2 linked regions of the Macaca mulatta genome follow. The protein of the gene in region 1 interacts with the protein of each later gene in a biochemical or structural test. Links are inferred from orthologs where the notes say so. Each region holds a gene or a part of one and is shown in the gene's direction. Other genes may lie near its edges.

Region 1 (4,710 bases):
CATCCAACTGGAAACTCAGAAGAAAGATGTGGACTAGAAATAACAGATTTGAGGATCATTAGCAAAGAGATGGCAGCGAAAGCGGGTGAAATCATCCTCGGAGAGGGAATTGAGTGATAAAAGGATCTTGAAGAAAACCCTAAGGAACAGTTAAGGGAAGGAGTGAGTAAGAAAAAGAAATTGCAGAGAGAACAAAGGACAGGCTAGAGATGAGAGGAAAACCTACCTCCTGCAAAGTTCAAGAGAAAGAGTGACAAACTGAGAAGCATACTGGATTCAGCAAAGAAGTCTGCGGTGACCTTGTGGAGAGCAGTTTTAGTGGAACTTTGGGGACAGCACCAGATTGCAGTGGGTTGAGGAGTGAGTGGGAGGGGAGGGGTTGGAGACAGCTGGCAGGGACATTTTTTCAAGCTGTTTGGCCAAGAATGGAGAGAGATAGGATGGTAACTTAATAGAATTGAGAGCTTCTTCTTTTTTTTTTTTTTTTTCTATACTAACGGAGGAGAGGAAGAAAATTCAGGGACAAAAGCAAATAATAAAGCCCAGGGGGAGGAGCAAGATGGAATCCAGTGCACACACTGGATTGTTCTTCAGACAGGAGGGATGCATGTCTATGTTTTAACTGGATGCAAGGAGGAAATGATTAAATTGGCTGGAAGCTTGATTGTTGGGTAGTTCTCGCTTAAGGATACTGTTTCCTCTTGGAAGATAGGCGATGAGTAAGGAGTTCGTTGAATGAATACACGAACATTTTCCCGTAGCTAGTCAAAGTCTAGGGTTACCAGCAGGACAGAAGAAGACACTGCAGGCCGGGTATGGTGGCTCACGCCTGTAATCCCAGTACTTTGGGAGGCCGAGGCGGGCGGATCACGAGGTCAGAAGACCGAGACCATCCTGGCTAACACGGGGAAACCTTGTCCCTACGAAAAATACAAAAAATTAGCCGGGTGTTGTGGCGTGCGCCTGTAATACCAGCTCCTCGGGAGGCTGAGGCAGGAGAATCGCTTGAACCTGGGAGGCAGAGGTTGCTGTGAGCCGAGATCGTGCCACTGCACTCCAGCCTGGGCAACAGAGCGAGACTCCGTCTCAAAAAAAAAAAAAAAAAAAAAGAAGAAGACACTGCATTTGAGGCAAGAGTCCGGTGGGAAGCAGGTTAAGACTGACTGAGAGGAAGTAACCATGGGAGGGCTGCTGGTCCACTGAAAGAGAGAGATTTTTCCAGAACCTCATGCTGGGGCTTTGATTTAGGAATCCCCTTCTTCCTCTAGTCAGTCAGCCTTCCCTGGCCTATGGCTCACGTCTAAAGCCTCGAGCCTCATCGTTCCCACCGAGGACCAGCTGGAAGCCATTTTGATTATGCTCCACCACGAAGGAGGACAATACAGCCCCGCCCAGAGCCAGGCGCGCCCCCGCGGCGGGCCGGGTGCGCGTGTCCGCGCTTCTTCCCGCCGGCCGGGCGGGCGCCTGGCCCAGGACGCGGTGGCGCGGGGCGGGGGGTGGGGGTGGTTATGTAAGCGTTGCGCGCTCCCGCGAGGCGCCAGCCAATGGGAGGCCCCGGCGGCTCGTGCTCGCGCACGCAGGGTGGGGGGAGGGAGCGCACGACGTGCGCGCACCCTCTCCCTCGTCCACCGCTGCCGCCTCCTTCTTCTGCCGCTCCTGGTGCTGCTTGTGTGCTCGTTTGGTGCGGACCTGGTACCTCTTTTGTGAAGCGGCAGCTGAGGAGACTCCGGCGCTCGCCATGGCCGACGAAAAGCCCAAGGTGAGCTCGGCGCCGGCCCCTTCGCCTCGCCGCGCGGTCGGGGTCAGGGCGCGGGCCGGGGTCCGGCCAGAGCTCGCCGCTGGCTCCCAGCGCCTTCCCGGGCCCCCCACAGGGCCGGCCGCAGCTCAGGCCCCGGCGCTCCGCGCCATTTTCCTCCCTCCCTCTCTTCCTCCCTCCCGCGCCGGAGGAGGCCCCGCCGCTCTCTCCCGCCCCCGGCGGCCTCCGAGTGCGCGCGGGGCGCGAGTTGGGCGGGCAGATCGCGGACGCCCGCGGGCCCACCAGCCCCGAACGGGGATTCTTGGCCCAGCCGTCCGGCGCGCGTGAGGAGGGGCGTTAGGGCGCGCGGGGTCTCCACCCTGCGCCGACCCCGCGTCGGGTGTTGCAGTCTCCGAGGCGGCGGGGAGTCCCCTGGGCTCGGGCTTCACCTCTCAGGGGTAGAAACCGCGGGCATCTGGGGACTCCTGCCCGGGGCGGCGGCGGCGGGGCGAGGGTTCGGGGCGAATCAATGGGCTGCTGATGAGCAGGAACCTGGATGCCCGCTGGCCGCCGTACTGGGCCTGGGGGTAGGGGGATTCCCGTGGAGTATTTCCCACTTTAATGGCCTCAGGGACCTGAGGGGGGAGGGGCAGCGGCTTTTCCCTGGGTGCCAACGAACCCCTAATCCGCGAAGACCATGTGGTTTCATGAAGTTGGAGGCACAGGTAGGAGCAGAGAGACTTTGTGCGGCTTAACTTTTGAATGCGGCTTTTGAGGCACCCGAAGACTTCCCGGGAGGACTGGGGGACACCCATCATCGGGGCACACGGGACTTGCTGCTTTTAGTTTGGTGACACCTCCCGCCTCTCGCGCCTTTACTTTCTGAAGCGTTTTAGGGCTACAGCATGCCTTCTACACTCGATTTTGGACAACTTTAGGTTGGGTCGAAATCTACAAGAAACACTTGGGATAAAACTGTGTATTTGACCCATGACAACAAAGGGGAGGGGAGAATAAGTGCTCTTAACCGAAGATAAAAATGAAGCTGCTAATAGAGGAGAACGTAACTGTGGTCCTGAGTATTACCGCTGTTCCGGAGGGAATCGGGATATTCTTCGATTTTTCGTGTGTGTGTTTACTTTAATGGAGATTGGATTTAGGTTATTAAACTGAGTTTGGTAACTTTTTAACGACAACGGTAATGAGTTTTGAATGGCAGGCTGTAGATTTATTGTTTTGTTTCTTGCAGTTGTACTTAAAGTGCTTAGAAAAGAGACTCTTATTTTTAACTTTTTTTGGGGGTAAAATATATATTTTGGGAGTGATATATGCCATTTTAGAAAGTTTAGCTTCAAGAGAACGTTCAATACACTGAATAGGACCCAACTTTAAACATGTATTGTTGTTACTGATAGTATTGCATGTAGGCTTTTCTGTATCTGACAGCTATCTAATACTGTTGCTGCAGGATTTCTCCTCTTTCACATTGATTTCAGCAGCTGAAAACAGCCGTATGCCGTTTTAGCATACCGTATGAGAAACCTGTTGATTTTTGAAGCAACTTAGGGCTGCTGCTGCTTTATAAAAGTGTGTGTTGATCACATTTCCCAAATTATACTTTTATTTTTCTTTTAACAGGAAGGAGTCAAGACTGAGAACAACGATCATATTAATTTGAAGGTGGCGGGGCAGGATGGTTCTGTGGTGCAGTTTAAGATTAAGAGGCATACACCACTTAGTAAACTAATGAAAGCCTATTGTGAACGACAGGTGAGGAATTCATATGTGTACTTCCACTGAATAAAACTATTTTTAAAAATCTTATTTTCATGGGAACAAAAACTAGCCTGGCATAATACTACAGTGACTTTTTGATGGGATGAATATGCACTTGTACTTGGCATGTCAGTTTTATCGTGCACTTGGTAGCTTGCTCATGAAAACCCTTAGGATGATTTGCTTAGTATTATATGTGGTTCCAGTCCTGTGCCAGAAATCCATCAAATTGTATTTACAATACTTGTTTTTTGGTTTTTTTTTTAACCAAGGAAATGTAATTTTATGTTTATAAGAAAGTAAGAGTGAACTTGGTAAAATTACTTAAGAGTCTTTTATTATTTTATTTTATTTTTTTGAGACGGAGTTTCATTCTTGTTGCTCAAGCTGAAGTACAGTGGCGTGAGCTCAGCTCACTGCAACTTCCACTTCCCGGGTTCAAGCAGTTTTCCTGCCTCAGCCTCCTGAGTAGCTGGGATTACAGGTGCCTGCCACCACGCTTGGCCAATTTTTTTTAGTATTTTTGGTAGAGATGGGGTTTCATCATATTGGCTAGGCTTGTCTCAAACTCCTGACCTCAGGTGATCCACCCGCCTCGGTCTTCCAAAGTGCTGGGATTACAAGCATGAGCCACTGCGCCAGACCAAGAAGTCTTTTTTTTTATTTTTTTTTTTGAGATGGGAGTCTTGCCGTATTTTTTTAAGCTAGAACTTATCTACCTTGTAAATCGTGGGGTTTTTTTTGTTTTTTTTTGGTTTTTTTTTGACAGAATCTTGTTCTATTGCCCAGGCTGGAGTGCAGTGGTTCAATCTCTGCTCACTGCAACCTCTGCCTCCTGAGTTGAAGCTATTCTTTTTTTTTTTTTTTTCCCCCCCGAGACGGAGTCTTGCTCTGTCGCCCAGGCTGGACTGCAGTGGCCAGATCTCAGCTCACTGCAAGCTCCATCTCCCGGGTTTATGCCCTTCTCCTGCCTCAGCCTCCCGAGTAGCTGGGACTACAGGCGCCCACCACCATGCCTGGCTAGTTTTTTGTATTTTTTTTTTAGTAGAGACGGGGTTTCACCGTGTTAGCCAGAATGGTCTCGATCTGACCTCGTGATCCGCCCGTCTCAGCCTCCCAAAGTGCTGGGATTACAGGCTTGAGCCACCGTGCCCGGCCAAGTTGAAGCTATTCTTATGCCTCAGCCTCCTGAGTAGCTG
Region 2 (4,052 bases), on another chromosome or scaffold:
CTTGGGTATCTGTGTCTCTGGACTCTCTTTCCTCTTCCCCTCTTTCCAGGCTGTGTGCTGCTGTACAAACAGGACTTCACTAAGAAGCTGGGCTTGTGCTGTATCACTTGTACTTACTGCTCCCAGACTTGCCAGCGCGGAGTCACTGAGCAACTGGATGGCAGCACCTGGGACTTCTGCAGTGAGGACTGTAAAAGCAAGTACCTGCTGTGGTACTGCAAGGTAAGGAGGGTCAGCACGCGAGCGAGGCGGGAAAGAGGGCGGCGGGGAGCACAGGCTGTGGTACTAAGCTCGGGGTGTGGACAGATCTCCAGGCAGGGCAGCCAGCCTTCCATCTCTAAGCCGGCCCGATCTCCAAGCGGAGGAGCATGGCTTATCCCAGGGGAAAGAAAGGGCCCAACGCATTTTAGGGAGGCAGGTCTGACCATCCTTTTGACATCCTCAGGCTGCCCGGTGCCATGCCTGTAAGCGCCAGGGGAAGCTGCTGGAGACCATCCACTGGCGTGGGCAGATCCGTCATTTCTGCAACCAGCAGTGTCTTCTGCGCTTCTATAGCCAGCAGAACCAACCCAACCTGGATACCCAGAGTGGGCCCGAGAGCCTCCTGAACAGTGAGTCCCGGGCAGGGGGTACACTCTGTTAGAGGGGGCCTGGACTCTCCTAATCCTAAGCCTAGCCCCTTTCTCCTTCCTCTTGCATTCACCTCATCCCTGGCCAGATAGGGTGCTAGTACTGTGAACTGTATTCTCTTTTAGCTTCCGAACCCTGCGGTTCAGAAGGGGAAGTCTTATTTAAAACTTCTTGGAGTTAGCGTCTACTGATTGTCTATGAAATGTATATTATTAGGGAGTGGGTGCCTATCCTGATAGGATGGGGCATATAGGGGTTACGGTTACTTTTCTGAGATAAGGAAATCTCAGCATAAACTCTACCTTTAGTGAGACTGAAGACTGTCATTTCTAGAATGTTGCCCCTGCCCCTCCACAACTCCAGGGATACCCAGGCTATCTAAATGGAAGGTCTCAATTGTGGGTTTTTGGGGAAAATGTAATGTTTCATTCTCAAGGAGCAAAGAGTCTTTTAGGCTACTATTGCTGGGGCACAGAGGAGACTAGATCTGGGATGGCAAGGGGGGCAAATCCTAGAACTTCCCATCTGTATTTGGTGTACCTGTTAATGAAGCTCTCCTGGAACAGGGGTAAGGAAAATGGAGAGCTAGTCCCTTGGATGAGAGCATTCATTTGTTTTGATCTACAGGTCAGTCTCCTGAGTCAAAACCCCAGACACCCTCTCAAACCAAAGTGGAGAACAGCAACACAGTGAGGACCCCAGAGGAAAATGGGAATTTGGGCAAGGTCGGGGCAAAAGCCAAGGGGGAGGATAATCTCAGAGGAGGGTACGGCAGTTGGCGGCACAAATGTTCCTTTTTCTTTGCAGATCCCTGTGAAGACCCGATCAGCTCCCACGGCTCCCACCCCTCCTCCACCCCCACCGCCCCCAGCAACACCCCGCAAAAACAAGGCTGCCATGTGTAAGCCGCTGATGCAGAATCGGGGCGTCTCCTGCAAGGTGGAGATGAAGTCCAAAGGGAGTCAGACAGGTGAGCCAGGGTACCTTGATGCCACAGGCTGTATTCCGGAGTCCTAGGCCTGCCAGCCCTATGTCCGTGAACTGGACAAGGGGATTCCTTAGGTAGCTGAAGCCTCATGCATATGGTTGTCCTAAAATCGTAGAGGTGTCTTTCAGCCATTGCTTCAAGGGCAGTTTTGTGACACTGAGCACGTTAGAGCTTTTGGCGGGTCCGATGTGATCAGTCCAGCAGGGTCTCTGAGAAGATCCCTTTTCTCGTCCACAGAAGAGTGGAAGCCACAGGTGATTGTGCTGCCCATCCCAGTGCCCATCTTCGTGCCAGTGCCTATGCATCTGTACTGCCAGAAAGTCCCGGTGCCTTTCTCGATGCCTATCCCGGTAAGTTTCCCTGCCCTTCCTGGCTGGGTCCTCCTTTCCCCTTCCAGGTTTGAGATCCACCCTTTCCCCTTACTCTCATCAACTGTCCCCCTTCACTCTCATCATCTGTCCCCCCCTTCCCCCAACTGCTGGTGTGGTTCTTGGCATTTAGTTGGGATTCGTGCCTCCAGGTGCCTGTGCCCATGTTCTTGCCCACTACCTTGGAGAGCACAGACAAGATTGTAGAGACCATTGAGGAGCTGAAGGTGAAGATCCCTTCCAACCCCTTGGAGGCCGACATCCTGGCTATGGCAGAAATGATTGCAGAGGCTGAGGAGTTAGACAAGGCCTCATCTGACCTTTGTGGTATGCCATAGATGGTGGCGATGAGGGAGACAGGGTGCTACCAGCGTGTCTCTGCCCGAGGGGGAGCTATTGATGATCTTGGTGCCTAGTAGAATGGGAGGATAGTTGGGATCAGCCCCTGAAAGCTTGTGAGGGTGCTAGCAGGAGCTTGTAGCCACTGAGCCCACTTCTCTGCTTCCCAGATCTTGTGAGCAACCAGAGTGCAGAGGGACTCCTGGAAGACTGTGACCTGTTTGGGCCTGCTCGAGATGATGTCCTGGCCATGGCAGTCAAGATGGCCAATGTCTTGGATGAGCCTGGGCAAGACTTGGAGGCAGACTTCCCTAAGAGTGAGTAAGATTGGAGCCGTGCCCACTGGGTATGGTAGCATTCGTGCCATCAGGAAGGGAATGTTCCTTGTGTCCCTGAGTATGACCCTGAAAAGTGTTCATTGTGATTCTAAGACAGAAGGTTCTCACAGGGAGCAGTGCCAGAGACACCAGGACAGGTGCATTCTTTTAGACTTCTGAGTCATGCTTTTTTTTATTATTTTTTTTAAACTGTAAAAAAACATAAAAATTTCACTATGTTCGGCCGGGCGCGGTGGCTCAAGCCTGTAATCCCAGCACTTTGGGAGGCCGAGACGGGCGGATCACGGGGTCAGGAGATCGAGACCATCCTGGCTAACACGGTTAAACCCCGTCTCTACTAAAAAAAATACAAAAATCTAGCTGGGCGTGGTGGCGGGCGCCTGTAGTCCCAGCTACTCGGGAGGCTGAGGCAGGAAACCCAGGAGGCGGAGCTTGCAGTGAGCAGAGATTGCGCCACTGCACTCCAGCCTGGGCGACAGAGGGAGACTCCGTCTCAAAAAAAAAAAAAAAAAAATTTTCACTATGTTCAACATGTTTACAGCTCAGTAGTTCACATTGCTGTGTTTTGTGTTTCTGTGACTCTGAGCATGCTTTTTGGTATAGCTTTACTGGTTCCTTTGGCTCATCTAGTGTCAAGTGGGCAAGTAGCAGGGGTGGGGCAGGAGGGCTGCAGGGTTGAGATCTTAAGAAATTGATTTCTTCTTTCTTTCCTTTTTATTAGATCCTCTGGACATTAATCCCAGTGTAGACTTCCTCTTTGATTGTGGCCTAGTAGGGCCTGAGGATGTGTCTACTGAACAAGACCTTCCCCGAACCATGAGGAAGGTAGGGCTGGGGCTACCATATGTACAAAAGAAGAATGGAGGCCCAAAGGGGAGAGGATGTGAGAGCCAAGCCAGCAACCATAGTTTGACCTTCCCTAACCTCCTTTCTCCAACACTAGAAGTACTGAGATAAAGCCAAACTTTACTCTTCCCCCATTTCACAAGGTCATCAAAGCTATTCCTGGGGCTCTGTGCTGTGGAAGTTTGCTGTGTACTTACATCAGCCCCTGCCCCGGCCAGCAGTAAATATGGTGCTGACTAGCTTTCTCACCTTGCCTCTGGCCTTACCTCTGCCATGCCCCTGCTTTCTCTTCTCCTCCAGGGTCAAAAGCGGCTGGTGCTTTCCGAAAGCTGCTCCCGGGACTCCATGAGCAGTCAGCCTAGTTGTACCGGGCTCAACTATTCATATGGTGTCAATGCTTGGAAGTGCTGGGTGCAGTCAAAATATGCCAATGGAGAAACCAGCAAGGGTGATGAGCTGCGCTTTGGCCGTAAGTACTTGCGGTTGGGGGTAGGGGAGGGCAAAGACAGGGAGGAGGAGGGGAAAGGGAAGAAGGGGCTGGGC

The links.
Region 2: the proteins of SUMO2 (region 1) and ZMYM3 form a complex in vitro, tested with the Homo sapiens proteins (2 studies listed by BioGRID). The link is inferred for Macaca mulatta from reciprocal best matches to the Homo sapiens genes SUMO2 and ZMYM3.

What each region holds. Positions count from the first base shown.
Region 1 is NC_133421.1:84,873,112-84,877,821, reverse strand, and holds the start of SUMO2 (small ubiquitin-related modifier 2), read left to right. Parts: upstream 1-1,609; 5' UTR 1,610-1,738; coding exon 1,739-1,759; intron 1,760-3,373; coding exon 3,374-3,505; intron 3,506-4,710. UniProt on the Homo sapiens protein: Ubiquitin-like protein that can be covalently attached to proteins as a monomer or as a lysine-linked polymer.
Region 2 is NC_133426.1:77,711,748-77,715,799, reverse strand, and holds part of ZMYM3 (zinc finger MYM-type protein 3), read left to right. Parts: intron 1-49; coding exon 50-222; intron 223-445; coding exon 446-611; intron 612-1,257; coding exon 1,258-1,355; intron 1,356-1,437; coding exon 1,438-1,600; intron 1,601-1,855; coding exon 1,856-1,968; intron 1,969-2,138; coding exon 2,139-2,313; intron 2,314-2,495; coding exon 2,496-2,642; intron 2,643-3,384; coding exon 3,385-3,488; intron 3,489-3,809; coding exon 3,810-3,978; intron 3,979-4,052. UniProt on the Homo sapiens protein: Plays a role in the regulation of cell morphology and cytoskeletal organization.